Struthio camelus: one gene and its partners. The protein of the gene in region 1 binds, or shares a complex with, the protein of each later gene. Links are inferred from orthologs where the notes say so. Each region holds a gene or a part of one and is shown on either strand. Other genes may lie near its edges.

Region 1 (10,615 bases):
CAGCACATGATTTGCAACTGTTATTTATTCGTCTAAGTAGTGGACTAACAGCAAACTTTTTTGATTTAAGAAAATTATTTAGGGATCCAAGCACATGCAAAATTATATTACAGGAAAATAATAAATTTCTGCCATTGGACTGCATTAAAAAAAGTAAAGATCAATTAAACACTTGAAATACTAATATTGACAAAAAGACACTCTGTAGTGAATATTAAGTGAAGAAATAGTTAATGGATATGTTTCAAAATAAACATTGCCAGACTGCGAAGAGAATGACAAAGGGATAGTACAATGCTAGGCATACAATAAAACAAATATTCTGGGGACATCATGTGCTGAAAATGCCACAAACATCACCCACTTCCCACTTGGGTTAAAATACAATTTCCACAATGCATAAATTTAATATAAACAATGAGCAAATATGTAGACAACCATGACAAACTAAAAAGGCACAAGAATAGAGGCAAAGTATTATCGCAGACACTAAAACAAAAACCAAAACAAAATAGCAGAGGACTGTCTACGTGGAGTTTCTCAATGGCAACTGGGAAATAGCAGTTTTTATAGTGGGATGTTTTTGTTAGTTATCATTGATGAGACAATGGTAAGCAGAAATTCACGTGCAGATCACCAGCCCAGTAAAGGTAGTGAGGAACTGAAAAGGCATCTATTTTTACCTTATGACTGGGCAAAACACTAGCAAACAAACTTTAGCGATATCATATTCAAAGATTCATATAGAAGGTGATAATTTAAATTACTTATAAACCTATCAGATTGAGCTCCAGGTGAAAGAAAAAAACCCCCCACAACTCTGAAAGTAGTTCTAGATCGATCAGTGAAGACTGTGACTCAAGATGCAGTCCTTCTACAAATTTTAAATGCATGAAAAAAAAATTAGAATAATAAAGTATACTGCAATTAGGTAAACCAATGACACAGTCTAATTCAAACCATATGCAGTACTTTTCACTCAATCGCAACAAAGTTAGCGGAATTTGAGAGATTTCAGAAGAAGCAACAAGAAGGAGTAATGGAAAAACGCTTAAAAAAATAATTTATCACAGAAGGGAACTAATGGCTAATGTTCTTCTCAGAGCACTGCTGTGCTGTTTTGTTTATTCTTAGAAAATGAGCTTCTGTTAGGGAAAACAACTGTCTCTAGAGGGTTTCTCTTTACTTCCCCATGCAATCAATTGTAAAAACTATTTGGACTCCCATCTGTCAACAGTGGCTAATTTCCTAGCACAAACTGTCACAATCAGACTCAGAAAAACACTCAAAAGAACAAATGATAACTACACTGATTTTAAAAGACTGGGAAACATCAAACATCCCTGAGCTGTAGATGTCTGTAACGAATATCATTTGTCAATAAAAGGAGGAAGATCTATGACCTTATTTTATATTACCTTATCCCCAAAATATTGATGAAAAGCTGAGCATGTTTATACTGTTGTGAATTTTGGTTTTATTGACTTTTTAATTCGCAGTTCCATTAACACTTTTGTGTGTCCTACTTACGTAATTCCATAAAAACCTTGTAGTGAGAGTCACAGTATTAATGTTCCCTCAAGTATTTCACAGAAACACTGCAGACAAAGATCCCGCCACAGAAACTGAGGATGACTTTTTGAATACCAGCAGCCTCCACGCTCTCCAAGCGCACAGTAAGACACTGCCCTTCTGCAGGTTCACGCTACCTCACTCTTGCATACAGATTTCATGCTCCATTTCCCACATGCAAAGTAAAATACCCTGGCAATAAATCCATACACTGTCATAATCATGAACGAGACTTAAAGCAGAAGAGGCTGTGCTTTGCCTTTGCAGGTTATGCACAGGCTAACGTTCAGTTACGGCAATACTGCGTGCCCACACGCGCCTTTTTGGAAACTGTTTATTTTATACAAGAACTTTTAATAATCAAGCGGTATTTCAGTGATACAGAAGAACGTTTTCCTGTGCAAATCCACCAAACTCATCAGGCTCTGCAGGGACGCCCACAGCCGTTGCGGGCCCCGGCCGCCCGGCGGCCCCTCCCGCCGCTCCGCCCCGCCCCTCCCGCCGCGCCGCAGCCGTTGGACGGTGACTCACCGCGCGGCGGCGGAGCGGCCGCCATGCTGGCGCGGCTCCCTTCCGGCGGCGGCGGCGGCGGCGGCGAAAGCTCGGGGGCACCGTCAGCTTCCCGCAGCTGCAGTGGGGCAGAGACGGAGCAGGAGAACGCATGAGTAGGATGGGGGTGAGGGGAGCGGGGGAAAGACGGCGAGAGCCGCGACCTGCCGCTGACCCGGCCCCGTGGGGGTCCCCCGAGCCTGCGGCGGAGGGGGCGGGCGGGAGCGCGCGTGCGCCGCGCCCGAGGCCGCTTGCGCATGCGCGGCCGCGTGCGGCGCGCTGAGGGCGGCCCACGGCGGCGGGCCGGCGGCTGCTGGCGCTGCGGAGCCGCCCGTCGCAAATGAACAAATGAACACCCTCACCGGTTTTCTTCTTCGGTGCCTGTGGGCTGTCAAGGTCCGCTTCAGCCTTTCAACCTGGGCAGCGTCCTCATCCAGGAAATCCTTTCAGAGAGAGGGAGTTGTGCTGTGGGCCGCAGACTGGGCCCCTCTCCCGGCCCACAGAAGTCATCTGTTACTCTTATCAAGTGCTGCGATTTAAGCAGTTTTGCCTGTCTGTATTTCACTGATGTCGTTTGCAGGCCCCAGTCCTGAAACTCGTGACACGTGGCTGAAGTTACGCAAATGTGTGGAGGGTAGTAAGGATTAGCAGGGTTAAAGCCGAAGGTCATCTCTAGAGCATTTTTTCATTTCATCTCCTCCTGTCAGCTACCTGTTTGGCCATGACATAACATGCTTCTCTAGGCACAGTTTAAACACAAATGCAGTTGCCCAACTAAAAAAGTAGCTCTACTGATTAGTAACCTCCTGTTCTTATAACGCACTCGAGCTTAAAATACATTTCACTAATAATTTAATCCAGCCAATATGTTACACCAATGTGAAACAATAGCAATGTATATAAAAAGTGTATATTTCACACCATGTGGTTATGATTATAATGTATTTGCCCAGAAATATAATAATTATACAAGCCTCTGTTAATTAGTACTCACTGTACAGAGCTAGGGAACAACAAGAGCATATAAGGTAATTTTAGTAACACTAAAACGTCTTATAGGTCAGTTACGTATGCAAAAAATCCCTGTCACTCTCACTGAGAAATGATGTTAAAACGGTTTTGTCTCAACTAAGGGGACACTAACCTCCATGATTATCATCCGGGATTCTTCACTGCAGTCCATCTATTCAGTAGCTCACACCTGGCTGGCAGAACCAAAACACAGAAACTGTGAGCAGTTATTTTACAGTCAGAGACACTTTACTGTGTGCACACTGATCATTCCATGTGACCTGTGCACCCTGAACACTCAAATGATGTACCATTTAACATGTAGTCTTAATAGTTTAAAAAAATGCTATTTTTTTGAAAACTGAGTAATTCAAAATACATGTGTCAGTTTATTTAATAATTCTATATAACAGTGAATAAAGTGAGCCACTATATGAAGGTCACCTGTTGCATGTTTTTTTATAAATAACCCACCCAGAGTCCATAAAGTCTCCTGACCAGAGAGCAGATTCACAGAAATTCAGATGTCAGAGACATGTTCAATCCCTTTCTTCTCTCTCAGCATTGGGCTTGCTTGACATTTCATGTTTACCAAGTCTGAAATCCATCAAATTACTATGATTTTATATACACCAGGAAGTTGTAGTTGATTACAAACATTCGAAGAATTTTTTAGTTAAATTGGTACAACTCAATTCATTACTACTATTGTTTCAGTTTCTTGTACTGCACTGCATTACCTTTAATCAACAGGGAAGTGCCTTTGGCCTGCACCACCATAGCTGCACTAGTGCAAAATCCAAGTGTTGATTTACTAATCTAAAAATGACTCACAGCAGCATAATTTAGTCTGGATTTCAAAATTCCCATGAAAGGACTCACAGGATTGAGACATATGAGACATGTTTTCATATCTGGCTGAATCTCTCCGTTAGCCAGAGGGCTAACGGAGGCCGACACAGGTCATCCTTGGTTTCTCCATCCTTTTTAGTACTGGGCATGTAAAGGCTCTTTCACTCTTACTTCAAATAATGTTTTCAGGCCAGGCAAGGCTGGTCTTCAAACTCCTCTTTATCTTTTAGGAGGTGCCTAAAAAATGGAGGAGGAGCCAATGGAGGATGTAGGAAGGTGGTAAATAATTGCATTATCTCCTGCCTAAGGATTAGTACTTACCAGCTACTAGGCCCAAAGGATTTTCAGGTTGCCAGACAGCTTCCCTGACTAGCACAGTGAGGAACTTGCCCTGAGCAAGTGTTTTCGTTAGACAGATGTGACTATGTGCCAAACCACCTTTGTATTCATCTCAGTACCAGTTCCCTCTGTAAGTATGTTGCACTAGTGTGAAGAAGGACATGGCTGAAAATTGGAATGTTTCCTTGCTGCGTGCAAGTCTCATCAAATGCCATCCTCGTGGCAGAGAAAATACCGCACTGCAAGAATCTGCAGCATTTTTATTACTCAGCACAGAAGTCTTTTTCATATCAAGCATTTACATAACAGATTTAAACAGTCTTATCTTACAGGCACATGTAAATGGAAAATGCCACAACATAGGTGAAGACCAGTATAGCCACTGTCTTTAACAATTTTCTAGCATTTCTTGAAAGCAAATACTACAGCAGGCATTTAAAAATGTAATAAACAACTGAATGTAAGAACTATAAAGCTCTCTCTCAGCTCAGAGGTTGTTTCTAAAGCACTTAAAACTGAAAACAGAAGTACAGTGAAGTTTCTCTAACTTCTCTTTGAAAAAAAAGATTACTTTGAAAATGTGTGAAAAATAATTTTGAAGATTTTGGATTCTTAAATCGGCCTCATGCATGAAAGCAAGGAAAACACAGTGGTATTTAAAGAGGTCTAAAAGAAAGCATTTGTTTCCTACCTGGGTTTTCTTATGCAGCAGCTCCAGGACTACAGACAACAGCCAGCCACAAACACTCTCAGCCTAGCAACAGGCTGTAAGGAAACCACTGGCCTTCCTTTTTAAAGAGAAAGAGTCAGATTCCCTCCCATAAGCCACTGAAAAAAAAAACCCTGGAAAATGTCTTTTTTATAAACTATTTTTCTAAAGGAAAAGGGAGTGAGAAAGTCATGAATAAAGCATAGGGAAGAGGAAGCGCTTAAAGCTTCTGCAAACATCTACACATTTCAATTACTGCAGTAACTTGGAAAAGAATATGCATTGTATATTTTTGCAGGATCGGAAATGATTATTTCTGACTGAAATACAATAAAAATAGTCACTCTTCCTAACTTTAAGGACCTAGCTCTGCTAAATTATCTGGCTGATTTCTCTATACTTCCTCTGTAACCAGAGGAGAAGCATATGCTATCCATGGGACATGTAAGATTCAAAGCAATTAAGTTATATATTCCTGAATGTAAATTGTTTGCTGAGGAGCATACCTCCCCCTGCTGACTACAGGGTGATAGTAGACCCCTAGTTTAGACTACATGCCAACATTCAGATAAGCAAAATTTACTTGGATGAATTTCAGTCTGAATTTCAACCCTGACATTAATGATGTAAGGATAAATCCTTAAAGTGGACTTTACTTCAAGTAAAGTTACTATCCAGCAGTTTTTCAAGTGCTATCTCTGTTTTCCAATGCATTAAAATATTCAGAAAGAATATTAACCCAAATTGTATCAAGAAGACAGCTGTATCCTATTGTTTACAGACGATCCTAACGGATCAACATAAGTCTCAGCAAACTTCTTAGCCTGTAATTTTTGGGAAAAGTCACAGGAAACATAGCACACTGGAAAAAAAAAAAAGAAGTATAAGCTTTCAGCAGCTGCACTTTGCCAAGACAGGCTTTTTACCACATCAAGACTAAAAAGGTATCTCTAAATGATCTGACTTTGGAGGAGGAAGACCATGAAACCAAAGTAGTAAGTAAGACAAATGATAGGACTTCTTATTTTTAAAGTTTTTACTGTATTATATTACTTCCATAGCAGAATAAAAGAAGGGTATCAAGGTTTCATTCAGATTTCTCTAGAGGCTGCTTAACGGGAAATACAATCCCTGACACCCCTGGCTAGAGAAGCAGTGGAGGGATGGGTTATCTGCTTGTTGAGTGCTCACAACCATCTTACCTAGATACTAGCAGTGGAAGGAGTATCTTAGCAGTTCCAGATAGTTTGTAGAAATGTGGACTTGTATACAATTCCTAACTTTTACAGGTACAAAGTAATTGATACTATTCCTATCAAGTATAGAGAGGGTCTTTTTTGCTGCACTGAATTTGGTGAACAGTAATTTCTTATCTAAACATTTGTATTAATATCTTCCTTATGAACGGAATAAATGTTATTGCTGATACCAAATGGAGCTGTTATTAGACCTGGTTATCCTTGCCCCTTCGTAACATCTGCAGGTCCATTACTGCAAAGTTTTAGTACCTAAAGTGACATGAAAAGAGGTGGCTAAGTTGTTTCCTATTTCTGAGTACTGTTGTTATCAAAAAGGGGTTCATGGGAAGAAGCAAACAGTCACAGTAGAGAAAAGATTGGGTGTAAGCGTTTTTAATTTGCAGAGAGGAACTATCACGGCTAGGAAACACCTTACGTGCCAACAGATTACAAGAAGGGGAGAGGAATGTGATCAGGAGAGCGGTTTGGTGCGGCACATGCACATACGCAGCAGTGAGCCTCCAGTGCCTGCTGAGCTTCACTGTATCACCGTGGAAGTGATCCAGTGGGTGAGCCTTCATATAGGGTTTTGGCAATGAATCACATTAAACATCTTGTTTTGCTAATAAGTCTGCTTCCCAACAATTTATTCTAGTTTCAGAAACAGTTATGCAAACAATTTAAATGATGGACAAATATGAATAGCGTTACATAAGGAACATCACTACACTACCCTGGAGGAGCAGTGGGGGACCTTTGCCTAGCAGGATGGAGAGCTACGTAAAAAACACGTCAGTACAATGGCTGTACTCACAGGAGAAATACAGAATTCAAACCACATACGTTTCCCGGAGCTAGGTTCAACACATTTATTTCAGCCAGTATTATAAAAACAACAGCAAGGCCAATGTCTGATTACCCTGGACAGCAGATGTCGTGCTCTGAATGAGCTGTCTCGACTTTGTTAGGTGTAACACTGTCACTCGCTTAGGCATAAGCTGTTATTTTGCTAATGACAGCCCAGGATGACCTTTGGCACAGGCAGAGCAGACAAACAAACTATGCAACAAACCATGGGGCGAAGCAAAATCATAATGCTGGTCCTCAATAACCAGCAGTTGCAGCTGTGCCGCTAGGCTGGCGGCCGCCACGCTGCCTCTGCCCCGTTCCCACACCTCTTGCTGCAGGGATGGGAGACCCCCGGGGCCAGCTGCCCAAAAAGAGGCAGCCCAGGGAGCGAGGGCTGGAGGCGGGCTGGGCTTCCCCTCCCTCGCCCTCCCTCGCTCGCGGGAGAGCTGTCACACGCTTTGTCCGCGTCCTCGCCCTCTGGGACATGCGGCCACCCTGTCCTGCCTATGGCACAGGGATTGCCGGCCCGATGACCTGAGGGAGAGCAGTTTTAAGATGAATAGCAAGCAACAAAGGATAGAGTTTATTTTCAGTTTGCAAGGATAAAGTAAGGTCAGGAATGCCATGTACAGCTCTTTTATCCTGCAGAATCAAAGCCAAATCCTGTAACAACAAATGGAAACAGAAGCAAAATTCCAATTCTTACGACATCCATACAGCATCTACAAAATATGAGGACATGTTGCTGCATTCTTAGAAGAGCTAGTATATGCAGCTCTAAAATGATCCCAATTTCAGGGAGATAGATAACCAAGGGGGAGCAAATTGTGCTCATCTTGATTTTCTTTAACTGATTGCACCTTGCTCCAACATGATAGAAAATCACAATAAAATGCCCTCAGATTTGTCAGAGAAGAAAAAGAAATCACTGCTCATTACCAGAACATCTGACAGAATATAGGTGACTACAGGTGGTGCTGGAGAGGAGCAAAGCTGCCGCTTGGACATCAGCATCAGTGGCAGACTAGTTTTTCCGATGATTAAAGAGACTGTTTTTCAACTCAAAGTTTTAAATCCTTTCCACCGTACGCTGCGGAAAGTGCTAGTGGGTGCCATTAGCTCTGTGGGTGCTAAAAAGTCACAAAGTACGTTATTCTTTATACACTTTACTCAGTTCTAGAAATCTTACCTACTCTTGCCAAGAGGTCACTTCTGGAGCATTCTGAACATGATTCTGAACTCATTTATCCCTTTTTCAAGAATTCAAAGGTTTTGTTCCTTTGTTAACACTACATTAACAAGGTGATTTTTGTGAATATTTTGTATTGTGTCTAGGATTCTGACAGGTGCTTTAAATTTGAAAAGAAACAAATTTGTCATTTCCTTGGTGTATGCAGAAACATTCTAGGATATATTTAGGTTTCCTACACCTCAAATTAAGTCTCCTTTGAAAGTCAGGTATTTTCTATATACTTGAATGTGTTGAATTTGGCGACATGAAAAGATTATCTAGCCCGCCTTAATAAACTGTAATAATATTCTGGAGGATAGCCAAGTTAATGCAATTGAAGGTGTCCCAGGAGGAACTTGAGCAGTACTTGACAGGTGCTGTGACAAGAGGTCCCTTGCATCTTTGTAAGGGTGATTCCGTGTTCTGCTGGTCAATCCAAGCTTTCTTTTTAGTTATAAGGCGTGTAATTTGCCATACTAAATTAAGCCACTTTTCCCACTTAGCAGGTTGCTCTCCAAGAGCAGAAATCTTATTTAACTTTTGCCATCTCAAAGTTAAATTCTAACCTAAGCTAGTCAATTTGGTGTCCCTCACTATTAATGCAAGAAGGCAGGTACCTCCAGATTTTTTGTCTTAAAGTAGTTCTCTAGTATAGTTGTCCGTATCTTTGCAGTGATGACAGGAGAGCTAACAACTGGCTTAACCTACGCACTGATCTTTTAGAGACTGCAGTCAGATGAACTTCATGCTAATATTTGCTGCTTCAGGAACAATCTACATCTAGGAAAAAGTTTCCTTCCAGCCCCCATCAGGTAGAGGCTGGACCATACCAAAGTAATTATACTCAGAATTGAGGGTTATAAGCCATATACCAAATAGTTCAAAATACCTTTTTTTGTAACGTATGTACTACTAAACTGTAGGTATTATCGTCAATATCAATGTATAATTGGTGTACTTAATTTTTCTTTTGCTTTAGGTAATAACTCTCATGAGTTGGTACGATGTATAAAAAAGGCAAAATCAAGTATCAGACACTGAGAACTTCCTTAAAGTACACAGAATTTTTTCATGCCCGTATGAGGAAGAATTGTGCCTCTGATATGTCAGAAACACTGATATAGCCCCAGCTGGCAATGTTGACTTAAGTGAATACACTGAAATGAATATTACCTCTCAGCGTTCTGTAAGCTGAAGTCTAAATAGTTTATACCGAAACAAATAAAATGCTTCTTCAAAAATATATTTACTCCTTGAGAAAGATATACCAGTGAAATGAAACCGTGCAGGTGCAACTCAGCAGGTGAAATAGCAGCAGCCCATTGTAATATATTCCTTTCTCAACTATGTTAATTTCCTGCTTACTCTAATGTGTTTTTTCTTGGATGGAGTTCATCACCTACTGAAATACATATATAAAGTATGCCAAATTGCCATTTAAAACAAGTTCCTACTTACCAAATTGGTAGTACAATGCTGATTTAGTTAACCTGAATATAAAATAAATGCCAGTGGGTAAATTAAACCTGTTAGTAAAAAGTGAGTGTTTCAATAAATGTGTTAGTGAATAAATATGAACTGAACTTAGTGGGTGACCTGTGGAAGGCAGATAAAAAGGAAGTATTATACAAACAGCACCAACTAGTGAAACAGACAGTAGGGGACAAAACCAGCTGCTTGTCAGATTTTTATATTTTCACCTATCATAAAAACACATGAATGCTATTAGGTAGAGTTAAAAAGATTTGAAGAATGTAGGTTACTTTTTCAATACTTATTTCTATTGGTACTTTTTTCCTCTATGTTGTCTGAACATTGTAAATAACTCTTCAGGACTAATTTTATATATCGCTGCCTGAAAAATTTGTATAGCAGCATAAACCATATGGATTTGAATACCAGTAGTGAAGAAAAAGAAGGTATTTAACTGAAATTAACATACCCGTAACTATTTGAAGATGGAGTTTCTAGTGCATTTAAAATGTTTAATTAGGTATCTAGGTTAAAAATGTTCAGCAATGGAACATGGGACTGATCTTTCTTGTCACTCTATAACATATAAAGAATGTCTGGAAGAAAAAAAGGTTTGGGGAGTATTTTGTTTGAAAGAACTTTGTTGTTTACTTATGTATATTTGCACACATATCTCCCAAGTAAATATATATTTTTTCCTTAGGAATCTCAAGAACATGAATCTTAATGTTGTTGGATGATTTCCCGGCAGTCTCAGGTTTGTATGAATTCTTGCTGCCTTGCCCAGAAAGC
Region 2 (10,615 bases), on another chromosome or scaffold:
AGGGCCCAGGCATCCGGGACCCTCCAACCCTCCCCGCACCAAGGGGCCCAGGCGTCTGGGATCCTCCAACCCCAGCGGGGCCCAGGCGTCCGGCACCCTCCGCTCCGCCAGTGTAGCGGGGCCCAGGTGTCCGGGAACCTTCACACCTGCCCCAAGTGGGGCCCAGGCATCCGGCACCCTCCGACCCCCCAACCCCCCCCGAAGCGGGGCCCAGGCATCCAGCACTCCCCCCCCCCCAAAGTGGGGCCCAGGCGTCCGGCCCCCTCCCACCCCAGCAGGGCCCAGGCGTCCGGGACCCCCCCCCCCCGAAACAGGGCCCAGGCGTCCGGGAGCCTCCAACCCCAGCGGGGCCCAGGTGTCCGGGACCCTCCCACCCCGGGACCCTCCCACCCCAGCGGGGCCCAGGCGTCCGGGACCCTCCAACCCTAGCAGGGCCCAGGCGTCTGGGACCCTCCCACCCCAGCAGGGCCCAGGCGTCCGGGACCCCCCCCCCCGAAACAGGGCCCAGGCGTCCGGGAGCCTCCAACCCCAGCGGGGCCCAGGTGTCCGGGACCCTCCCACCCCGGGACCCTCCCACCCCAGCGGGGCCCAGGCGTCCGGGACCCTCCAACCCTAGCAGGGCCCAGGCGTCTGGGACCCTCCCACCCCAGCGGGGCCCAGGCGTCCGGGACCCTCTAACCCCCCCCTGAAACGGGGCCCAGGTGTCCGGGACCCTCTAACCCCCCCCCCCGAATTGGGGCCCAGGCGTCCGGGACCCTCCCACCCCAGCGGGGCCCAGGTGCCCGACCCCCTCCCACCCCCCCCCCGAAGCGGGGCCCAGGCGTCCGGGAGCCTCCAACCCCAGTGGGGCCCAGGCGTCCGGGACCCTCCAACGCCCCCCCCCGAAGCGGGGCCCAGGTGCCCGGCCCCCTCCCACCTCAGCGGGGCCCAGGCGCCCGGCCCCCTCCCACCCCCCGAAGCGGGGCCCAGGCGTCCGGCCCCCTCCCACCCCAGCGGGGCCCAGGCGTCCGGGACCCTCCAACACCCCCCCCCCTCAGCGGGGCCCAGGCGTCCGGGACCCCCCCCCCTCAGCGGGGCCCAGGCGTCCGGGACCCCCCCCCCCGAAGCGGGGCCCAGGCGTCCGGGACCCTCCCACCCCCCGAAGCGGGGCCCAGGCGTCCGGGACCCTCCAACCCCAGCGGGGCCCAGGCGTCCGGGACCCCCCCCCCCCTCAGCGGGGCCCAGGCGTCCGGCCCCCTCCCACCCCCCGAAGCGGGGCCCAGGCGTCCGGGACCCTCCAACCCCAGCGGGGCCCAGGCGTCCGGGACCCCCCCCCCCCTCAGCGGGGCCCAGGCGCCCGGCCCTCACCCTGCCCGGGGCCGCGCTCGGCCGGGAAGCGGTGCAGCTCCAGCGCGTAGTAGTCGTCGGGCGGCGGCGGCGCGGCCTGGCGGAGCCGCGCCCGCTCGCGCAGCGCCTCGCGGCTGCTGTTGTAAAGCGCCGCCACCTCCTCGGGCAGCGGCCGCGCCGGCGCGTCGGCGGGCGGCGCCGCCAGGCGCAGCTTGCTCAGGATCTGCCCGCGGATCGCCTCGATCCGCTTGCGCCGCGCCAGCTCCAGGTCGAGCGTGCGGCAGGTGGAGAGCGCCCGCGCCGCCCCCAGCAGCGCCTGCGCCGCCCCCAGCAGCGCCAGCAGCGCCGCCAGCTCCATGGGCCGCGCCCGCCGCCGCCGCCCGAGCCCAGCCGAGCCGAGCCCGAGCCGCCGCGCTTTAACCGGGCCGCGGCCCCTCCCAGGAAGCCACCGGCCGCCCCCCCCTTCCGGGCCGCCGCGGGGAAACTGAGTCACGGCCCCGCCGCGATGGGGGGGGGGACAGGCCGAGGGGCCCAGGCGCCGCCGCAGCCCCCCCCGCAGAACCGCGAGGGGCCCAGGCGTCCCGCAGCGAGGTGGGGAGGGGGGGGCCCAGGCGTCCGGCACCGCTGGAGGGGAGGGGGCCCAGGCGTCCGGCACCGCTGGAGGGGAGGGGGCGCGGCGGCGAAGGGGCGGCGGGGGGCCCAGGCGTCCGGCACCGGCTCCCTCAGCAGCGCGAAGGGGCCCAAGCGTCCGGCACCGGCCCCGCTAGAAAGGGCCCAGGCGTCCGGGACAGCCCTCCCCACTACCGGAAAGGGCCCAGGCGTCCGGGACCGGCCCCCTCCGATAGCGGAAAGGATCCAGCCGTCCGGAACGCCCCCCCCCCCCCCGCCCCAAACCCTCGCCCGCCCCAGCACGACCGACGCAGGGACCCAGGCGTCCGGGACCCTCCCCCCAGCAGAGAGGGCCCAGGCGTCCGGGACCGACCCCGCTAAAGAGGACCCAGGCGTCCGGGACCCCCCACCCCCCCTCCCCCGGCGGAGGGGACCCAGGCGTCCGGGCCGCCGCACCCGCGCGACACGGGCGCCCCCTGGCGGCCGCGGGACCCCGGGAAGGGCCCAGGCGTCCGGCCCCCCCCCCGCCGGGCCGCGAGAGCTCAGCGAAACGGGGGCTGCGCAGTAAAACCCGCTTTATTGGGGGGGCCCAGGCGTCCGGGGCCTGGGGGCAGCACTGGTGGGTCCCTGGCGGGCTGTGCCTGAGGGACCCCGGCGTCCTGCTCCCGGGGGGCCCCGGCGTCCTGGCCCTGCAGGCAGCGCTGGTGGGTCCTGGCATCCTCGGCCCAGGTGTCCTGGTGCGCAGTGTCCTTCCCTGGGGGGCCCGGGCGGCCTGGCCCGTGGGGGGCCCAGGCGTCCTGGTGCCCAGCGCATGGTCCTGGGGGGCCCAGGTGTCCGGGCGCAGCGGGGCCCAGGCGTCCGGGTGCAGCGGGGCCCAGGCGTGCGGGCGCGGGGGCCCAGGCGTGCGGGCGCAGCGGGGTCCGGGCGCGGGGGCCCAGGCGTCTGGGTGCAGCGGGGCCCAGGCGTGCGGGCACAGCGGGGCCCAGGCGTCCGGGCGCAGCGGGGCCCAGGCGTCCGGGCACGGGGGCCCAGGCGTCTGGGCGCGGGGGCCCAGGCGTGCGGGCGCAGCGGGGCCCAGGCATCCGGGCGCAGCGGGGCCCAGGCGTCTGGGTGCAGCGGGGCCCAGGCGTGCGCGCGCAGCGGGGCCCAGGCGTCTGGGCGCAGCGGGGCCCAGGCGTCCGGGCGCGGGGGCCCAGGCGTGCGGGCGCAGCGGGGCCCAGGCGTCCGGGCGCGGGGGCCCAGGCCTCCAGGCGCGGGGGCCCAGGCGTGCAGGCGCAGCGGGGCCCAGGCGTGCGGGCGCAGCGGGGCCCAGGCGTGCGGGCGCGGGGGCCCAGGCGTCCGGGTGCAGCGGGGCCCAGGTGTCCGGGCGCGGGGGCCCAGGCGTGCGGGCGCAGCGGGGCCCAGGTGTCCGGGCGCGGGGGCCCAGGCGTGCGGGCGCAGCGGGGCCCAGGCGTGCGGGCGCGGGGGCCCAGGCGTGCGGGCGCAGCGGGGGCCCAGGCGTGCGGGCGCAGCGGGGGCCCAGGCGTGCGGGCGCAGCGGGGCCCAGGCGTCCGGGCGCAGCGGGGCCCAGGCGTGCGGGCGCAGCGGGGCCCAGGCGTCCGGGCGCAGCGGGGCCCTAGCTCTGGACGCCGTAGCGGGCGAAGTGGCGCAGCAGCACGGCCAGCTGGAGGTGGACGGTGCCGGCGGCCTCGGTGCGCAGGCGGAAGCGCTCGGCGGCGCCCAGCACCAGGTCGGGGCCGCGCAGCTGGGCGCCCCCCCCCAGGAGGCGGCGGGCCAGGCGCTGGCGGGGGCCCCCGCGCGGGCGCCACGTGCCGCAGGCCAGGCCGTGCCAGCCGGCCCGCGCCGGCACCGCGCAGAAGCCGTAGCCGGCCAGGGCGGCGCGCCCGAAGGCGTCGCGGTGCCAAACCTGCAGGTGCAGCCGGGGCCACCCTGGCGCGGGGGGGGGGGGTGTCACCCGCACCGCCGCCGTCAGCCCGGGGGCCGCGCGTGCACGGGGGGACGCGCGTGTGCACGGGGGGACACGCCTGTGCACGGGGGATCATGCATGGGGGGACACGGATGTGCACGGGGGGACGTGCGTGTGCACGGGGGGACACGGGTGTGCACGGGAGGACACGCCTGTGCATGGGGGGATCACGCGTGTGCACGGGGGGATCATGCACATGTGCACGGGGGGACACGGATGTGCACGGGGGGACACGCCTGTGCACGGGGGATCATGCATGGGGGGACATGCCTGAGCACGGGGGGACACGCGTGTGCACGGGGGGATCATGCACATGTGCACGGGAGGACACACGTGTGCACGGGGGGACACGCCTGTGCACGGGGGATCATGCATGGGGGGACACGGATGTGCACGGGGGGACGCGTGTGTGCACAGGGGGACACGCATGCGCACGGGAGGACACGCCTGTGCACGGGGGGATCACGCGTGTGCACGGGGGGATCATGCACATGTGCACGGGGGGACACGCCTGTGCACGGGGGATCATGCATGGGGGGACACGGATGTGCACGGGGGGACGCGTGTGTGCACAGGGGGACACGCGTGTGCACGGGAGGACACGCCTGTGCACGGGGGGATCACGCGTGTGCACGGGGGGACGCGCATGTGCACGGGGGATCATGCATGGGGGGACACACGTGTGCATGGGGGGACACGCCTGAGCACGGGGGACACGCGTGTGCACGGGGGGATCATGCACATGTGCACGGGGGGACGCGCGTGTGCACGGGGGGACACGCGTGTGCATGGGGATTGTGCACGGGGGATCACGTGTGTGCACGGGGGGTCACGCGCGTGCACGGGGGGCGCGGGGGCACCTTGCAGGCCGCGGGTGGCGAAGTGCAGGTCGATGGGGTGGCTCCAGTAGGCGGCGGCGCCCGGCTGCGGCTCGTCCAGCTGCGTCTGGCCCTGGCGGCGGCCGGCCAGCAGCCGCCACGCGCCGCCTGCGGCACGCCGGCCCGCCTCGCACACGCGCGTGCACCCTCCCGCCCGCCTCGCACACGCGTGTGCACCCGCCCGCCTCCGCCTGCGGCACGCCGGCCCGCCTCGCACACGCGCGTGCGCCCTCCCGCCCGCCTCGCACACGCGCGTGCACCCGCCCGCCTCCGCCTGCGGCACGCCGGCCCGCCTCGCACACGCGCGTGCACCCTCCCGCCCGCCTCGCACACGCGTGTGCGCCCTCCCGCCTCCACCTGCGGCACGCCGGCCCGCCTCGCACACGCGCATGCGCCCTCCCGCCCGCCTCGCACACGCGTGTGCGCCCTCCCGCCCGCCTCGCACACGCGTGTGCGCCCTCCCGCCCGCGCGCGCCCCCCTCTGCCCACGTGTGCCCGCTCCTGCACACACGTGTGCCCGCTCCCGCACACGGCTGCGTGCTGCTGCCAGCCTCTGCATGCTCCCACACGCGCGTGCCCGCCTCTGCCCGCGTGTGCACGCTCCCACCCGCATCTGTGCACTGCCACACGCGTGTGCACGCAGGCCCGGTACATGTGCATGCTCCCACACGCGTGTACGGGGCAGCCTCCGTGTACGTGCATGCTCCCAGCCGCGTGTGCACGCTCCGACACGCGTGTGCGCCTGCCCTACCGGCGTGGACGCCCCACTTGCAGAAGAGGCCGCCGTCGGCGAAGCCGCTGGCCCCCACGATCTGCCCGATGACGTGCACCTCCGCCATGGCCGCCCCGGGCGCCGCTGCACACGCGGTCCTGCCGCACACACAGCGCCCTCGTGCGCGCACAACCCCGGTGCACACCCACCACCCTCGTGCATGCACAACCGCGGTGCACACCCACCACCCTCGTGCACACCCACCACCCTCGTGCATGCACAACCGCGGTGCACACCCACCACCCTCGTGCACACCCACCACCCTCGTGCGCGCACAACCCCGGTGCACACCCACCACCCTCGTGCATGCACAACCGCGGTGCACACCCACCACCCTCGTGCACAACCACCACCCTCGTGCATGCACAACCCTCGTGCACGCACAACCCCGGTGCACACCCACCACCCTCGTGCACAACCACCACCCTCGTGCATGCACAACCCTCGTGCACGCACAACCCCGGTGCACACCCACCACCCTCGTGCACAACCACCACCCTCGTGCACGCACAACCCCGGTGCACAACCACCACCCTCGTGCACACCCACCACCCTCGTGCACGCACAACCCCGGTGCACACCCACCACCCTCGTGCACAACCACAACCCTCGTGCACGCACAACCCCGGTGCACAACCACCACCCTCGTGCACACCCACCACCCTCGTGCACGCACAACCGCGGTGCACACCCACCACCCCGGTGCACGCCCAGCCCAGGTGTTCGCACCCCCCGCCCCCCCTTGCACACTCGTGTGCAACCCCCCGCCCCGCGCATGCGCGCTGCGCCCCCACCCACCGCCGCCCCGGGGGCTCCTCGCGCCGCCGCCGCCGCCGCGCGCTCCCCGCCGCCGCTCACACGCACTTCCGGCTGCTGTTGCCACGGCAACGCCGCCAGCCTGCGCAACGCCGGCGCCTGATTGGCCGCGGCAGGAGGGGAGGGGGCGTGGCCAGCCCCGCCCTGGCTGGCGGCGGGCAGAGCGCGGCTCCACCCCCCGCCGCCATCTTGGGAAGGTCGCGCCGCCTCCGCCGGTCCCCGAGCGGGGCCATCTCGGCCCGCAGGAGCGCGAAGGACCGGACCGGCCTCCCGGTGCCGGGTGCCGCGGCCCGGGGAGGCGGCTGCCGGCGCCACCTTGGCAGCGGCAGAGCCCTGGGGGAATGGGGGCCGCCAACTTGGGGCGAGAGGGAATAAGGAGGCGGCCATCTCGGTAGTGGCGCAGGGCGGGGCCGCCATGTTTGCGCCTGTACGGCGGAGGGCGCCGCCATCTTGGCGCTGCCGCGCTGTGGGGGCCGCCATCTTGGGGGCCTGGTTGGACGTGGCCCGACGTGGGTCAACATGGCTCGACATGGGTCAACATGGCCTGACACGGGTCAGCATGGCTCAACGTGGCCTGACACAGCTTGACATGGGTCAACATGGCTCGACATGGCCTGACACGGCTTGACATGGGTCAACATGGTTCAGCATAGCCTGACACGGCTTGACATGGGTCCACGTGGCTCGACATGGCCTGACACGGCTTGACATGGGTCCATGTGGCTCGACATGGCCTGACACGGCTTGACATGGGTCAACATGGCTCGACATGGCCTGACACGGCTTGACATGGGTCAACATGGTTCAGCATAGCCTGACACAGCTTGACATGGGTCAACACGGTTCAGCATAGCCTCACGCGGCTTGACATGGGTCAACATGGCTCAGCATAGCCTGACACGGCTTGACGTGGGTCAACATGGCTCGACATGGCCTGACACGGCTTGACATGGGTCAACACGGTTCAGCATAGCCTCACGCGGCTTGACATGGGTCAACATGGCTCAGCATAGACTGACACGGCTTGACGTGGGTCCACATGGCTCGACCTGGCCTGACACGGCTTGACATGGGTCAACACGGTTCAGCATAGCCTCACGCGGCTTGACATGGGTCAACATGGTTCAGCATAGACTGACACGGCTTGACGTGGGTCCACATGGCTCGACATGGCCTGACACAGCTTGACATGGGTCAACATGGCTCGACATGGCCTGACACGGCTTGACATGGGTCAACACGGTTCAGCATAGCCTCACGCGGCTTGACATGGGTCAACATGGCTCAGCATAGACTGACACGGCTTGACGTGGGTCAACATGGCTCGACATGGCCTGACACGGCTTGACATGGGTCAACACTGTTCAGCATAGCCTCACGCGGCTTGACATGGGTCAACATGGCTCAGCATAGACTGACACGGCTTGACGTGGGTCCACATGGCTCGACATGGCCTGACACAGCTTGACATGGGTCAACATGGCTCGACATGGCCTGACACAGCTTGACATGGGTCAACATGGCTCGACATGGCCTGACGCAGCTTGACATGGGTCAACATGGCTCGACATGGCCTGACATGGCTTGACATGGGTCAACATGGCTCAACATGGCCTGATATGGCCTGATGCAGCTCGACATGGGTCAACGTGGCCCAATATGGCTTGACATGGCTCAGCATAGCCTGACACGGCTTGACACGGGTCAGCATGGCCTGATACGGCCTGACGCAACTCAACATGGGTCAACGTGGCCCGACATGGCCCCTGACCCTGCCCAAGCGCACCCACATGTCCCTGCAGGCACAGACACGCGTGTCTCCAAGCGTGTCCCCACACGTGCCCCGCACACCCCCCATAGCCACGTGTCCCCACACGTGTCCTGCGTGCAGGGTCCCACTGTCCCCTGCCCAGGCTCCTGAAATGGGGCACCCCACATACCCGGAACCCCCTCAGCCCCCCACATTGGGGGCACCCCACGCCCAGAGCCCCCCCCACATTGGGAGCACCCCACACCCGGGCTCCCCCACCTTCCCCTCCCGGGAGGTGACACGAGCTCGCCCGGCCTCAGCCGAGGACCCCAACGCACCCGCTCTGCCTGGGGAGGGGGGCACAGCTGGGGGCCAAGGTGGCAGCAATTAGGCCCCTAATTACCCCCTGGTAATTACCCCGGGTGGGGGGGGGGGCTGCACGCAGGGCTGGAGGGGGGACGGGGCTCGGCCCCCCCAGGGCGGCGGCAGTGAGAGGCGGCAGCAGGTCGGGGCGGCCTGTTTAATGCCCCCGACGGCGGAGGGGGGTGCGGGGGGGAGTCCGGATGGGTGCGGGGGGGTCGGGGGCCCCGGCGTCCGGCGCGTCACCACTTGGAGTACTTGCGGCGCAGGCAGTCGCGGTAGAACTGGAAGATGGCGGCGGCGGCGCGCTGGGCGGCGGCGAGGCTCTGCTGCAGCTGCGGAGGGGGCGCGGGGCGTGGGGGGCCGCCCCACGGCGGGGGGGGGGGCACGGGGGGGCCACCTCACCCATGGGGGGGGCTGCCCCATGGTGGCGGGGGGCACAGGGGGGCCACCCCATGGTGGGGGGGGCACGGGGGGGCCACCTCACCCGCAGGGGGGGAACAGGACATGGGGGGGGGGCTTCCCCACGGCGGGGGGGGGTGGAACATGGGGGCTGCCCCATGGTGGGAGGGGGGGACAGGGGCCACCCGACGGGGGGGGGGTTCCTCATGGGGGGGGGGGCAGGACACAGGGGGCCGCCCCATGGCGGGAGGGGGAACGGGACGGGGGGGGGGCTGCCCCACGGCATGGGGGGGGGGAACATGACGCAGATGGCCGCCCAATGGTGGTGGGGGGGAACGGGACATGGTGGGGGGCTGCCCCATGGCATGGGGGGGGGAACGGGACATGGGGGGGGCTGCCCCACAGCATTGGGGGGGGCTGCCCCACAGCATGGGGGGGGGACACGGGGGGGGGGCCGCCCCCCGGGGCAGGACGGGGGTCACAACCCCCAGTGCGTGTGTGTTTTGGGGGGGGGGGGGAACCGACAGGCCGGGAACCCGCAGGAAACCCCTCGCTGCCCGGAGCGACCCAAACCCGCGGCGATTCGCCCCGAAAGCCGGGACGGGGGGGGGGGGGGGGGGCGCTGACCTCCTGGGGGGAGCAGGCGCCCTTGGTGGTGGCGGCGGCCAGGAGGCGGCCGTCGGGGCTGGCGATGGCGAAGGTGAGCACGGCGCGGGCCTCCTGCGGGGCGAGGGGCAGCGGGGCTGAGCCGGGGGGGGGGACCGCGGCCCCCCGGGGTGGGGGGGGACGGGGGGGGGACCCGCTCACCCGCTCCTGGCGCGCCGTGGGGTCGAGGACGAGGCGGCCGTCGGGCCGCAGGGCGCAGGCGACGCCGCAGAAGAGCGAGGCCAGCGGCAGCCCCGCGTCCAGCAGCCCCAGGCAGGCGGCGTTCAGGCAGCAGGCCAGCAGCTGCGCCCCGCGTCAAGGCGCCCCCGGCCCCCTCCGGCCCCCGCGCGCCCCCCGAAACCCCCCCCAAGCCCCCAATTCCCCCTAACCCCCCCAAACCCACATCCAGCCTCTCAAACCCCCCGAAATCCCCTCAAACCCCCCGAAATCCCCAAGCCCCCAATTCCCCCTAACCCCCCCAAACCCACATCCAGCCCCTCAAACCCCCCAAAATCCTCCCCAAGCCCCCAATTCCCCCTAACCCCCCCAAACCCACATCCAGCCCCTCAAACCCCCCGAAATCCCCCCCAAGCCCCCAATTCCCCCTAACGCCCCCCAAACCCCCATCCAGCCCCTCAAACCCCCCGAAACCCCCCCCAAGCCCCCAATTCCCCCTAACGCCCCCCAAACCCCCATCCAGCCCCTCAAACCCCCCGAAATCCCAACCCCTAAATCCCCCTAACGTCCCCCAAACCCCCCAAAGTCCCCCCAAACCCCCAATTCCCCCTAACGCCCCCCCAAACCCACATCCAGCCCCTCAAACCCCCCAAAATCCCAACCCCCCCAAATCCCCCTAAAGACCCCCAAACCCCCCGAAATCCCCCCAAGCCCCCAATTCCCCCTAGCGTTCCCCAAACGCCCCTCTATCCCCCAAACCCTCTAAATCCCTCCCCCAAAACCCCCATTCTCCCCCCAAAACCCCCAATCCCCCCAACCCCTCTCAATCCCCCCATTCTCTCCTAAACCCCCTCGAACCTCCCACTCTCCCCCCCAACCCAATTCCCTCCCCAAAATCCCCAAATCCCCCAACA
Region 3 (10,615 bases), on another chromosome or scaffold:
ATAAAGCATGATATGTTCTTAGATTCTCCAGAAATGCAATGAGGCAAAACATTAGCAACTTCCTAAAAACAGAAGTTTTAATACCAGCTACAGGAAGATTTGTGATTGCGTTTTAGAAATCTCGCAAGAGTTTCTTTTACAAGAGATTTCAGTTTTCCTATGCTCATCATGATGATCGTTATTATACCATGTTCAATAATAACAGAGAATTTGGGAAGATGCAGTCTTCTCTTTTTCTCTGCAGATTTTTAGGAAACTGCGTGAAAGGTTAAAATGTAGGCCTAAGCCTGCAACTCTGACTTGAGCTGCATTCAGGCTGTGAAAGGAACCACGTTGTACCAAAGGGACGTCTTACAAAGGCTGCCCAGCTGGGTTTTGCTTTTGTGCAATAATATTTTCCCTCATGGTATCACCCTCGTATTACTTTATTAAACCAATTATGACAAACAGTACGTTTTAGTGGGATAAACAACCTATTAACAATACTCACCAGAACTTACGTATTTAAAACTGCATGTTTAACCGAGATGCAACACAGCTTCCAGTCTATATCCAAAGAAACTCACAGAAACGGAAGTTCTTCGAAAAACATTTGTTCATGAAGCTTTATCTGAATTTAGTTGGTGTGCATGCTATTTTACTGACTGATTAAACTCAAGTCAGGAATAACAGGAGAATATTCTAACCCAAATAATGCCTTTGAAAATGCATTTTCCAACCTGCAGGATTAGCATCAGAGCACCACGAGGAGACAACAGGACTAGGCAGTCTCAGAAATGCATCTGCTGTCTGTATAGGAACACCATACTGCCAAATAAAAGGACATATTCAAGCACATAGGTGCATTTCAGTTCATGGAAAGCTTTGGAGTATTTTCATTAACAACAAATCTGAACAACAGAGGTCTTTATTTACACTACATTTCTCAATATTGTCTACTTCTATGCACATCAATTCTTAAGCCATAGCTGACAGCTTTCTTCATGTTTACAGTAATAAAACAGCTACTTATTTTTCACAGATGTTAACGTAACTCACTTCTGAAGCTGGCTAACATAAAATGTTGCATTTCACTCTGATATTTTTATATTTAAAGACCAAAATAAAGTTCCTCTGTTTGAGGAAAACCTGCAGCTTCTTACAAGCAGATGCAAAGAATGCTCGCTTGCTCTGAGATCGAACAATATAATACTGATTGAATGAAACCATTGTTTACCTCATATCTGTAGGTTTCATTTGCATCAGAAGGATTTTGAGAATCTGTGTTTATACTCCAGCTATCAAATTCAGTACTGAAAGTAGCACTTCCAAACTGTTTAAGCAATTGATCAAAATTTTCAGAAGTAGGCACTTCAGGGGAAATGAAGGAGAGTGCTTGCTTATCTGTCAAAACATTTTAAAGAATGAGATAACATTTAGGATACAAGATACAGAAGCAGTATTTAGAAATAATTTTGTTTTGAGTTAAAAAACAATGACAGGAAAATACCAAAGAAGGATGAACATTCAGGAGAAAAGCTGGGTGGTATCTCAGTTTATGATTTCACCCTGATTCATGAAAATACATACTTAAACCTAAGGAAAGAGGTAAGCCTCTTTCTTTTAAAATCTTGGTTTCTAACAGCATTGTATGTTCCAAAACAAAGACCTGCTAAGTAGTACAATTTCCATGCTAAGCATTCAGATAAATACTGCACTGTCTTAATTAAATTAAGAGAATAGAGCACTCATCACTTCTCCACTTTGGTAAAATTCTTAACCAAAAAAGGTTCCTTTTTTTGAGAAAAATGTCACTTTTATCTCTAAAGTTGCCAATGGAAAGGAAAACGTTTTTTTTATTTTTATTTTTTTTTAAGTAAGCCTAGTCAAAGCCAACAGCATTCCTTCCACAGAGAAGACTAAGAAGAGTATCTGAGACGTTTGGACTCCACAATTTCACGAGTGAAAGGATTACAACATACAGCCTGTGAGCATACAGAATAATCAGTTTTCAGACAGGTTTAGTTACTTTTAATTTTAATCTGCCTTTTTGATACCTAAAGGGCTCACAAAAATAATAGTGCAATGCTTAGTATTGGCAATAGCTCTACTTACAGTTCGTAGCATGAATGCAGAAAACATTAGGATTGATTTGGTCAATTAATTTAAATATCCTTTCTGGTGGATTTGCTTCAACATCAAGTGAATATATAGCAGCTTTCTGACTGCAAAGATGGCTGTCACCTCTGTGAATAATAATAGCAAAATCAATGATCCACTAGAATTTAGTATTAACCATTTCATTTTAAAGTTATCTTCATGTGTTGAGATAGCATCAGAAAAGTACTAACAGAGTTACTCTTTTTTAAACACAGTTTATATAGTAATCCTGTATCCTTCAAAGGCTTGTATCACTTGTTACTGTGTGCTTAGTAACAAATAATAAAGAAACATCTAAGACATTTTTTTATCTAGCAGAGGAAACTGCACAAAAAGCAACATGAAATAAGGTAAGACATAGCCAGTGGTGAAGGGAAGAACCTCAGAAGAATAATACTAGAGTTAAGATGGCAAGTTGGATGGGATTCAGATGGTGTGAAACACCACAAACACAGGATGCACCACAGGCTGGACAGCTTGGAAGCACTCTTACTTATACAAGAGAGGTGGGAAGGATGACCTTTAAGGTAACATGTTGTTAAGTAGGCCAAAAAAAGTAAGTTTCATGGACATTGGAATAATATTTACCTCTGTAAAAAGACACAGTGACCTACTTCAGATGCATGTATAAGAAAGGACAAGGTGAGAAACCGGGAGATGAAATAACGATCCAATGTGGCTGTACCAGTGCCTTCACCTTCATGTATTTCTAGCATGTTGATTCCTGGCAAACTGGTGCTTATGGCAGAGCGAGTTAAAACAGTCAGGGATAGAAAGTGATAAAGCAAAATGAGTTTTAGGAACAACTTCTTATGCATGGAGCTAAACTTTTTCAGGAGGTGAACCATTTCTTAATAGGATCATATCCTAAATAAAACACCCCCGTTTTCTGCATTTTACAGACCACATAACCTCTAACTTGTGGTCAAAACCCCGTTAGTAACCATTACAATTATTCAAATGTATATAAATCTATAAGTAAATAATGAGATCCAGAACACTTGTAGTCATTGAAAATACCATGGATTTTCATGCAAAATGAAAATCTTACAGGAAAGAATTTAGGAAAAAAGATACAACTTGATTTTCTGCATTTCTAGTTGGCAAAGACAGACTAGTCACCTGAGATAATTAAACTGTCATTCAGGAAGGTGTTGATTAGACCTTTCTGATATATATAAATACCTATAAATGGGGAGCAGTAGTCATTGTGTGCAAGAACAATAAGGAATGGCAGTAGAGGATGACTGCTAATTGAAATTTCAAAGCACTGAGAATAAACTCCAGTTTCCAGATTGGCATAATTTATGCAGAAGGTAGGTTGAAGAGCTATACTTATTGTTCTGAGAAGTCACCAAGAGATTTTTACATTAAGATTCTGAAATTAACTTTAGCTTCTACTTGAGAAGATGAAATCTGGGTAAATGTATTTTCAGATAGACTGTAAGTAGCAAAGAAACAATAATCAAGAACATAATGCTGATAGTTATGTTACATTTTACTTTGTTTGTGAAGTGACAATGGCAGTGAGACAGCAAGTTGCGTACTTGCTCATAAAATTAATACCAGAGTGATTCTCCGAGTATTTCACTACAGACCTGAATCAATCATGTTTCTATCTGATGCAATAAACACCAATGAAAGAGGTTACTGATAAATTGCTGATGACCCACATGGTCAAATTGTCCCATGGTACCAGCTTTCTTAGCTTCCAGACACTGTGTTATATTGATAAAAGTCTAAAGATACATTATTCTTCCCTCTAAAGAAGCTAATGCCCACGTACAGTAGGACAGTGGAATGGGGAAAAGCAAGGAGCACAGGTCTGGAAAACAGGGAATGAGAAACTGGAGTCAGGTGCCAATTTGCTTTTCTCCTACCTGCTGGGGAAGGAAGGACTGCATGCCTAATGCAGGAGGGACTGCTGAAAAGGTAGTCAGGATGGATGGGTTAGGGATTTGTAAGAGGACAGGATAGAGCCCTTACAAATGCACGCAGCAAACAGGACAGGAGTTTGTATTTCAGAAAACCATTTATTCACTTACGTGACAATAGGAACTGAACATGTAGTAAAGAGACTGAAATCTGCTGCACTGCAGTCAGGGTCACAGCAGCAATTTACATCACACTGCGCCACCAACAGATCACAAACACACAGCTTGGCAACTGGAGAAAAAGATTTAAATTAGTGTTAGAATCAAATCTAAACACATTACAATATGTACTCAAACACTTTAATTTTTCACCTTGCCTAATTTTGACAATGGTCAAAAGTCTACATCCAAATTCACTTTTTTTTTTTTAACAAGTCATTTTAAAAAGTTATCTTTTCCAAGGCATACTATAAATCTGATCCTGTGTTCCCTGTGAAATCAAAAAAGCAATTGGAGTTAATAGGAATGCTGAAGGTATTAAAACGTTATGTAGTACTGCTGAGAAAAAAGATACAAATAATGGAGCAACGCTAGGTTTGTTTCAGCTGGGGGGGATGGGGGGGAAGATGAAAGGAGAGAAGGGTTATCCTACAGCAATGAGAAGTTTAGAAGTATCAGACGTGTCCCAGGATACAGTAATGTTTCCCTGATGTTGCAATATAACTAGAGTTAATTTCTTTACAGTTGCTTTTTCTCTGTGTCTTCGGATACTGTGAATATTGCAATAATAAGGAAGTAATCACCAGCAATATGGTGAACTGTCTTGACAATATAAATTTAGCAGCTTCTTAAAATATTCTTCTGTTCCCAGGTTTACAAATTCAGAGAACAGATATTAATTTACTTAACTGGTTTTGAAAGTGGCTGTTCTGTATTAATCTAGATTTAAGGGCAGCATAAAATGTAGAAAATGAAGATCAGCACTGCATAGGCCGGACACGAATGAATATTTAACCTCGTAACTACCACTTCTTTCCTTTCAGTTTGACTGTTAACACACTTCCCTGTGGCCCTCCAGAAGCTCTCTGCCCACCATGAACCGTATCCAGCCAGTTCTTGGAATTTCTGAAGTTCTGACTGTTCTGTCAGCTGAATTTAGGATTGGAGTCTTCTGCTCACCTTGTTGTAAACAAGGTAAGTTTAAACACAGCAGGGGTTTAAGCCTCCCTTCCCTAAGGAGGCACACGCTAGGACGCGTTTAATTCCGCAGGTGATCTAGCGAAACGGAACGGAGGGAGGCAACACTGGGAAATCAAAAGCTGAACCTATCCGCTGACTGGAAGAAGCGGGAAAGGCTTGCCGAGGGCACAGCTGTGACAGAATATTATCTATAGGGTCCAGGGCCGAATGAGGGGCTCGGGCGGGCCATGCCCAGCCCCACGCGCACGCAGGGTCTCCCCGCAGGCCTGGGGCCGGCCCGGCCCGGGGGAGCCGCCCAGCCCCCGCCCGGCCCGGGCACCCACCGTCCGTCACCGGGGCCGGCCTGCGGGCAGCAGTGGGGGGCTGCGGGGGCGCCGCGGGAGCCACCGCGCCAGCGCGGGGCAGGGGGCCGCGGGGCTGCGCCAGGAGGAGGAGGAGGAGGAGGAGGAACGCGAGCCGCAGCGCCGCCATGGCCGCCCCTAGCAACGGGCGGGCACCGCTCCTCCCCCCCGCCATCCGCGCGGTTGCTAGGGGAGCGCGGAGCATCACGGGAGGGACGGGAAAACCCGCCCGCAGCCCCGGGGCATCATGGGAGGGATCCCTGGAGCATCATAGGGGAGAGAGGCCAACCTGGAGCCCGGGGCATCACGGGAGAGAGGCCAGGCCCCGGGGCATCACGGGAGAGAGGCCAGGCCCGAGCCCCCGGGCGCCGTGGGAGGGGGGCTGCCCCAGGCCCCACGGGACAGGCCGGCGCACCCTGGGTGCTGTGGCGGGCCGTGAGGGGAGGCTGACCCCAGCCCCGACCCTGGCCTGACAGAGCCACCGCCGCTGCCCCCGTGCGCCCTGCGAGATCTCGCTCCGCACAGGGAGGCTGGGCACTACTGGAAAACCATATGCAAAAAAAAAAAAAAAAAGAGGGCCCCCCCCCCCTTGTGAGGTATAAAATCTTACAATTTGTATGTTTATGCAACTTTTTAAAAAATAATTCTGTGTTTCTTAAACTGTAATTTTAAAAGTATTCATCTTGGGTTTTTTTCTTTTGAAAAAGCTGCAGGTTCTTTTGGTCTTTAATGCGCATATTCATTCATATTCATATGCACATATTCATTTATCTTGATAGTACCTCTGCAGTATATACAAGCATTTTTATACCAACTTGATAGTTGGGGAAATTGAGCTACAGAGTGACTAAATGATCAGGGTTCCTTAGAGTTAGCTCACAAATATTAGCATCCAGGCCTTGGGTCTAAGCAGGAATCAACGTGCGCTTTTTAAAGTTAAACTTTCTGAGATTTGTCTTTTGCATTATCTGATCTAAAGCGGCTTTGCAATGTTTGCTCCCGCATCAAAGCGCACAGTGCATCATTACAGAGTTTCTTATTTTTCTTTTTAGGCTCGTTCCTATCATCTTGAAGGGAAGCCACTGAAAGCTTCGGGACCACAAGAGGGCGTGTTCTGTTTTGCATTTAACGTATTTGACCGCTCTCAGTGCCAGTCACAACACCTGAACAGGTTAACTTCATGTTTGCATGCAAATTTAGTGTGCTGGAGAGGTTCCAGGTTCTTCTATTGAAAACTGAAATAATTCCACAGCGCATACAGCATCTTTGCCATTTCTGTCCTCTGCCCGAGTGTGTCATGCCTGGCCTGGACCGACCACATCTGAAGAGGAGATGAGGTGAGTTAATTAATCTCTTTAGCCTGCTGAGGTTTCTGCTGCTCCACTGGGACTGTACAAAAGCCAATTATTGACAAAAGTGTTGCTGAATTATGAGAGACAGGCTATTGTCTGCCGCACAAGGTACAGGGCTACCAAGGTCATTTTGATTGTATCACATAGCACAGCTGGTAACAACTGCCAGTTACGAGGATGGCTTTGAAATAGCTCCATATCAGTTGGCATCGAGTCATCCTTCCTCTTGGAAAGTCATCAGTGCACTAAGGACGTGGTGACATGAAGGTGAGAATCTGGTGTACTCCATTGGACCTAAAATCTCAGGGTACCTTATATGCAATAACTGTCTGACCTGAGTCGCCATTCTACAATCCTTCTGTTAAAACAAGTATAACCTAAAGTTACTGTATTTGCCTCCTTCCTAGAAGCAGGAGAACTGATGTAGTTTGTTTCTTTGCTGATTCTGAGATTACCTTAGTTTGATTCAGCTGGAAACATTCATGTGTTTCCCTTCAACAAGGTCTCCAAAATTATGTTACTGGGTTTTGGGGTGGGGTTTTTTTTTTTTTTTTTTCCTTTTTCAGGCTTGAAGAATAGCAGTGACTTCACCTACAGTTCTGTTTTAGAAAGGGAGTGTATATAAAAATGGCATTGCAGGAGTACTTTTTTGCTTCTCATTTAGGCTGTGCCAGGACTGGCTGCAGCCACAGTGGAGACTATGTGCAGGGGGTGGGAGGGAAGGGAAGGTTACATGGTCTCCTTAAAAAAAAAAAAAAAAAAAAAAAAAAAACAGGTATTTGACCCTGCTTAGTACAGCAGATAGGCATAGATAATAGATGTCAACTGAGGACCTATTCTCAGCTAGCCAGAGTTAGAAGTCTTACAGCTTGAAGAAGGAGGCCTTAGGCCTCCTCTGTAAAGGAGGCTTGGTTTCCTGCCTGCTGAAAGGAGAGTGAAGCTCTTTTCTGCTGTCACTGTTGTGAAGCTTCCACACCCATTTGCTTGAGGGGAAAGTAAAATAGATTTTTGAAGTTTTTCTAATTGCTGTGGTGCTTGTTGTCCCAGCTGAGAGAGGCATTCCTGTAGAAAGGAACCTTCTACCATGTGGCTGCTCTCTCCTCCGCTGTCATGTGTTTGAGATCAAACCTCTCCCTGGACAATGCTGACTTGGGGGTTTACAATTCCTTGAATTTCCTTGACTAATCAGTTCCCATTTACCACATGTGGTCAATTAACAAGAATGAAGAGGTCTTTCCTACCTATAAGTCCTGCTGCAAAATTTGTGTCTTAGAATTTAGTCTGTGGGCTTGGAGGGAGAGTGGTGCTTAATTTATGGTTTTCCTCTTTGAGTATCATCACAGGTCATATACTGTCTTCTGTTTCTCTTGTGCAACTGCACTGCCATCAGATGAGATAATTAATATTGAAGCACAGCACCCCTGCTTGTTAATTTACACATTTCTAATGGATTTGAAATCAGTGAAGAGCTCTGCTCTGTTGATAATGCGCAAGAGACAATGGAATTTAACACATTTTTTTTCATCTGGAATGACTTGCAAAGCTGATGGCACACAGCAGAACAGGATCCTAGATGAAACCCAGGCTGTGCTGAAGTCTGTGAGTTGGTGCCAAGCACAGATTGGACTCTGACCGCATGTGCGCAGAAGCTGAATAAGTAAGAAGATACCATTTCTCACCACATCTACCATTGAAATAGAATAGAGCAAATGGGAAAGTGTTCAATATCAAAGTATAGCGTAATGAATCAGGTTCTTTCATGACAGTTTTTTCAGAAGTAAGGGTTTACTCAGTCAGACCAACATTTCACCTAACCCCATCTCCGATACTGGCCATAATTTAAATAAAAAAAAAAAAAATAGGGCAAGCGTAGGTGCTGATGTCGCTTCAGTTTCCTCTTTATTATTGCTTTGTTAAGTGAGTAACTCTGAATTTCTAAATTATGAAATGTAATAGTTTATTAAAGTCATGAAGCTTTTCTGGAGATATCTACATATTAACAGAATGCAGTAAATTAGGTCCATGCAGAAACAGATACAAAGAAAATGGCAATAGAAAAACAAAACTTTGTCATACAGAAAAGAAAGGCTAGACAAAAACCAACTATAAGAGAAAACAGTTGAAAAATCTCACCACCACAGAAAAACCTGTGTTAGTCTTGAGAAGTAGGTTCCAAAGCGCAAGCTCTGCAACGTGTAGGACAAGGTCAGGACATTAATAAATAAGACATGTTCTCCATCACAGAGCTTTTAATTTATCCTATCAACATGAGTTAGTTAATAATTAACAGGACACTGTGATCCTCATATAGGAGGTCCTATAAAAATGAAAATTTAAGGCCCAGTAGATTGCTGTCTATTAAAAGCATTTTAAAGGACTTACTGTATTGTTACTGCAGTTACATTTTAAGGAACAAGATTTTGATGTGCATTTAAACATAATAGTGTGGCATTTGCAACCCAATGTCTTTAATAGAACACTAAGATTAAGCAAAAAGCACTGCTTACATTTCAGTTTTTCTATCCAAGCTTATTTTAGTAAATCAGTAAGATTATTTTTTTCTATGTAACTTTCACCATAACCCTTCCCCTTAAAATATTTAAACATAAAATAATTTTAAAGAAATTATTGCTGTTCCTCGGGACAAAAGATATGACAGTTTTCAGAACAGTGCACCAATATCTAGTCTGAATGAAGTTACTAACATGCAAGTCTTCGTGAGCAAACTGGCAAAGTCAACGTGTTTCTCTGCAGCAGGGCAATGAAAGAAGTTCTGCTCATGGACAGACATCCTTTTGATGACAGTTTTGACAGTTTAAATTTATTTGGGGCGTTTAAACTAACTCGGAGCAGGATTAGCTTAATCAGCCTGGTCTTCATAAATTAATCAAGCTGTTTGTTGGCTGAATGTCTGCTGTTCCCGCTGTTGTATGATCTGTAGCATTTTGGTGAAGTGTTTCTTCTGAACGCATCGCATACAAGACTTTTAGCTGACCTCAGACAGGTTTTCGTGTTAGGAGGTTTTTAGCAATAAAAGATGCTCAATAGTTAGAGCTACTATTGTGAAAGAGCTTCCCTCAGAAGGGGTATCATTTCTGTTACTTTAAATTTTTAAAATTAGACAGAAGAAAATCCTAAGAGGAACAGTTTTGTATGTGCATTATTTGATCTGAATATGTATTTTCAGTTTGATACCATTCAAAACAACTTTAACACTGACCAAAAGTCAGTCACCATTAAACTACAATAGGTCGTATTTTATAGAGAAGCTGGATGACTTGGATGAGGTCCTAAAGGAGCTGATGGAGAAACTGATATACAAAATAAATCAGCTCTCCCAGGATTTCACAAAAAGCTAAGATTTGGGAGGTCCTAGTACCCTCGGGTGGGGATCTGACTGAATCTTCTCAAGATTCTTCCAAGTGGAGAGGCCTAGTAATGTCCTTTTCACATTAGTTTCCTAATTGATGTTGCTGCTGCGTCTTTAGTTTCATCTTTTCAAACGAAATGTTGGTTTTGTTCCATGACAGATGACTTTAAAAATTCAAGTAGACAGGCATTTTTAGGTAGAATCAAAACAAAGTCAAATAAGGCTGAAATAAACTGCATTCTGGTCTAGCACAACATCAGCCCTTAAATAAATAGTGAGAAGCTTGGGAACTCTAGGCTCTCTCTGTACAGCAGATGGCATTACAGGTAATACTTATCA

The links.
Region 2: CC2D2A (region 1) and B9D2 share a complex: the UniProt entries of both Homo sapiens proteins name them as parts of the tectonic-like complex. The link is inferred for Struthio camelus from reciprocal best matches to the Homo sapiens genes CC2D2A and B9D2.
Region 3: CC2D2A (region 1) and TCTN1 share a complex: the UniProt entries of both Homo sapiens proteins name them as parts of the tectonic-like complex. The link is inferred for Struthio camelus from reciprocal best matches to the Homo sapiens genes CC2D2A and TCTN1.

What each region holds. Positions count from the first base shown.
Region 1 is NC_090945.1:70,662,412-70,673,026, forward strand, and holds the start of CC2D2A (coiled-coil and C2 domain-containing protein 2A), read right to left. Parts: upstream 5,091-10,615; 5' UTR 5,015-5,090; intron 3,327-5,014; 5' UTR 3,305-3,326; coding exon 3,266-3,304; intron 2,751-3,265; exon of another isoform or gene 2,565-2,750; coding exon 2,484-2,564; intron 2,375-2,483; exon of another isoform or gene 2,201-2,374; coding exon 2,104-2,200; exon of another isoform or gene 2,087-2,103; intron 1-2,086. UniProt on the Homo sapiens protein: Component of the tectonic-like complex, a complex localized at the transition zone of primary cilia and acting as a barrier that prevents diffusion of transmembrane proteins between the cilia and plasma membranes.
Region 2 is NC_090957.1:700,872-711,486, forward strand, and holds B9D2 (B9 domain-containing protein 2), read right to left. Parts: upstream 5,790-10,615; 5' UTR 5,769-5,789; coding exon 5,531-5,768; intron 4,888-5,530; coding exon 4,762-4,887; intron 3,865-4,761; coding exon 3,551-3,864; 3' UTR 3,430-3,550; downstream 1-3,429. Other genes in the region: TGFB1 (transforming growth factor beta-1 proprotein), read right to left, coding at 1,348-1,684; EXOSC5 (exosome complex component RRP46), read right to left, coding at 8,720-8,812, 9,507-9,599, 9,687-9,827. UniProt on the Homo sapiens protein: Component of the tectonic-like complex, a complex localized at the transition zone of primary cilia and acting as a barrier that prevents diffusion of transmembrane proteins between the cilia and plasma membranes.
Region 3 is NC_090958.1:18,032,332-18,042,946, reverse strand, and holds the start of TCTN1 (tectonic-1), read right to left. Parts: upstream 5,772-10,615; 5' UTR 5,760-5,771; coding exon 5,537-5,759; intron 5,208-5,536; exon of another isoform or gene 5,069-5,207; intron 4,306-5,068; coding exon 4,185-4,305; intron 2,226-4,184; coding exon 2,095-2,225; intron 1,384-2,094; coding exon 1,217-1,383; intron 808-1,216; coding exon 720-807; intron 1-719. UniProt on the Homo sapiens protein: Component of the tectonic-like complex, a complex localized at the transition zone of primary cilia and acting as a barrier that prevents diffusion of transmembrane proteins between the cilia and plasma membranes.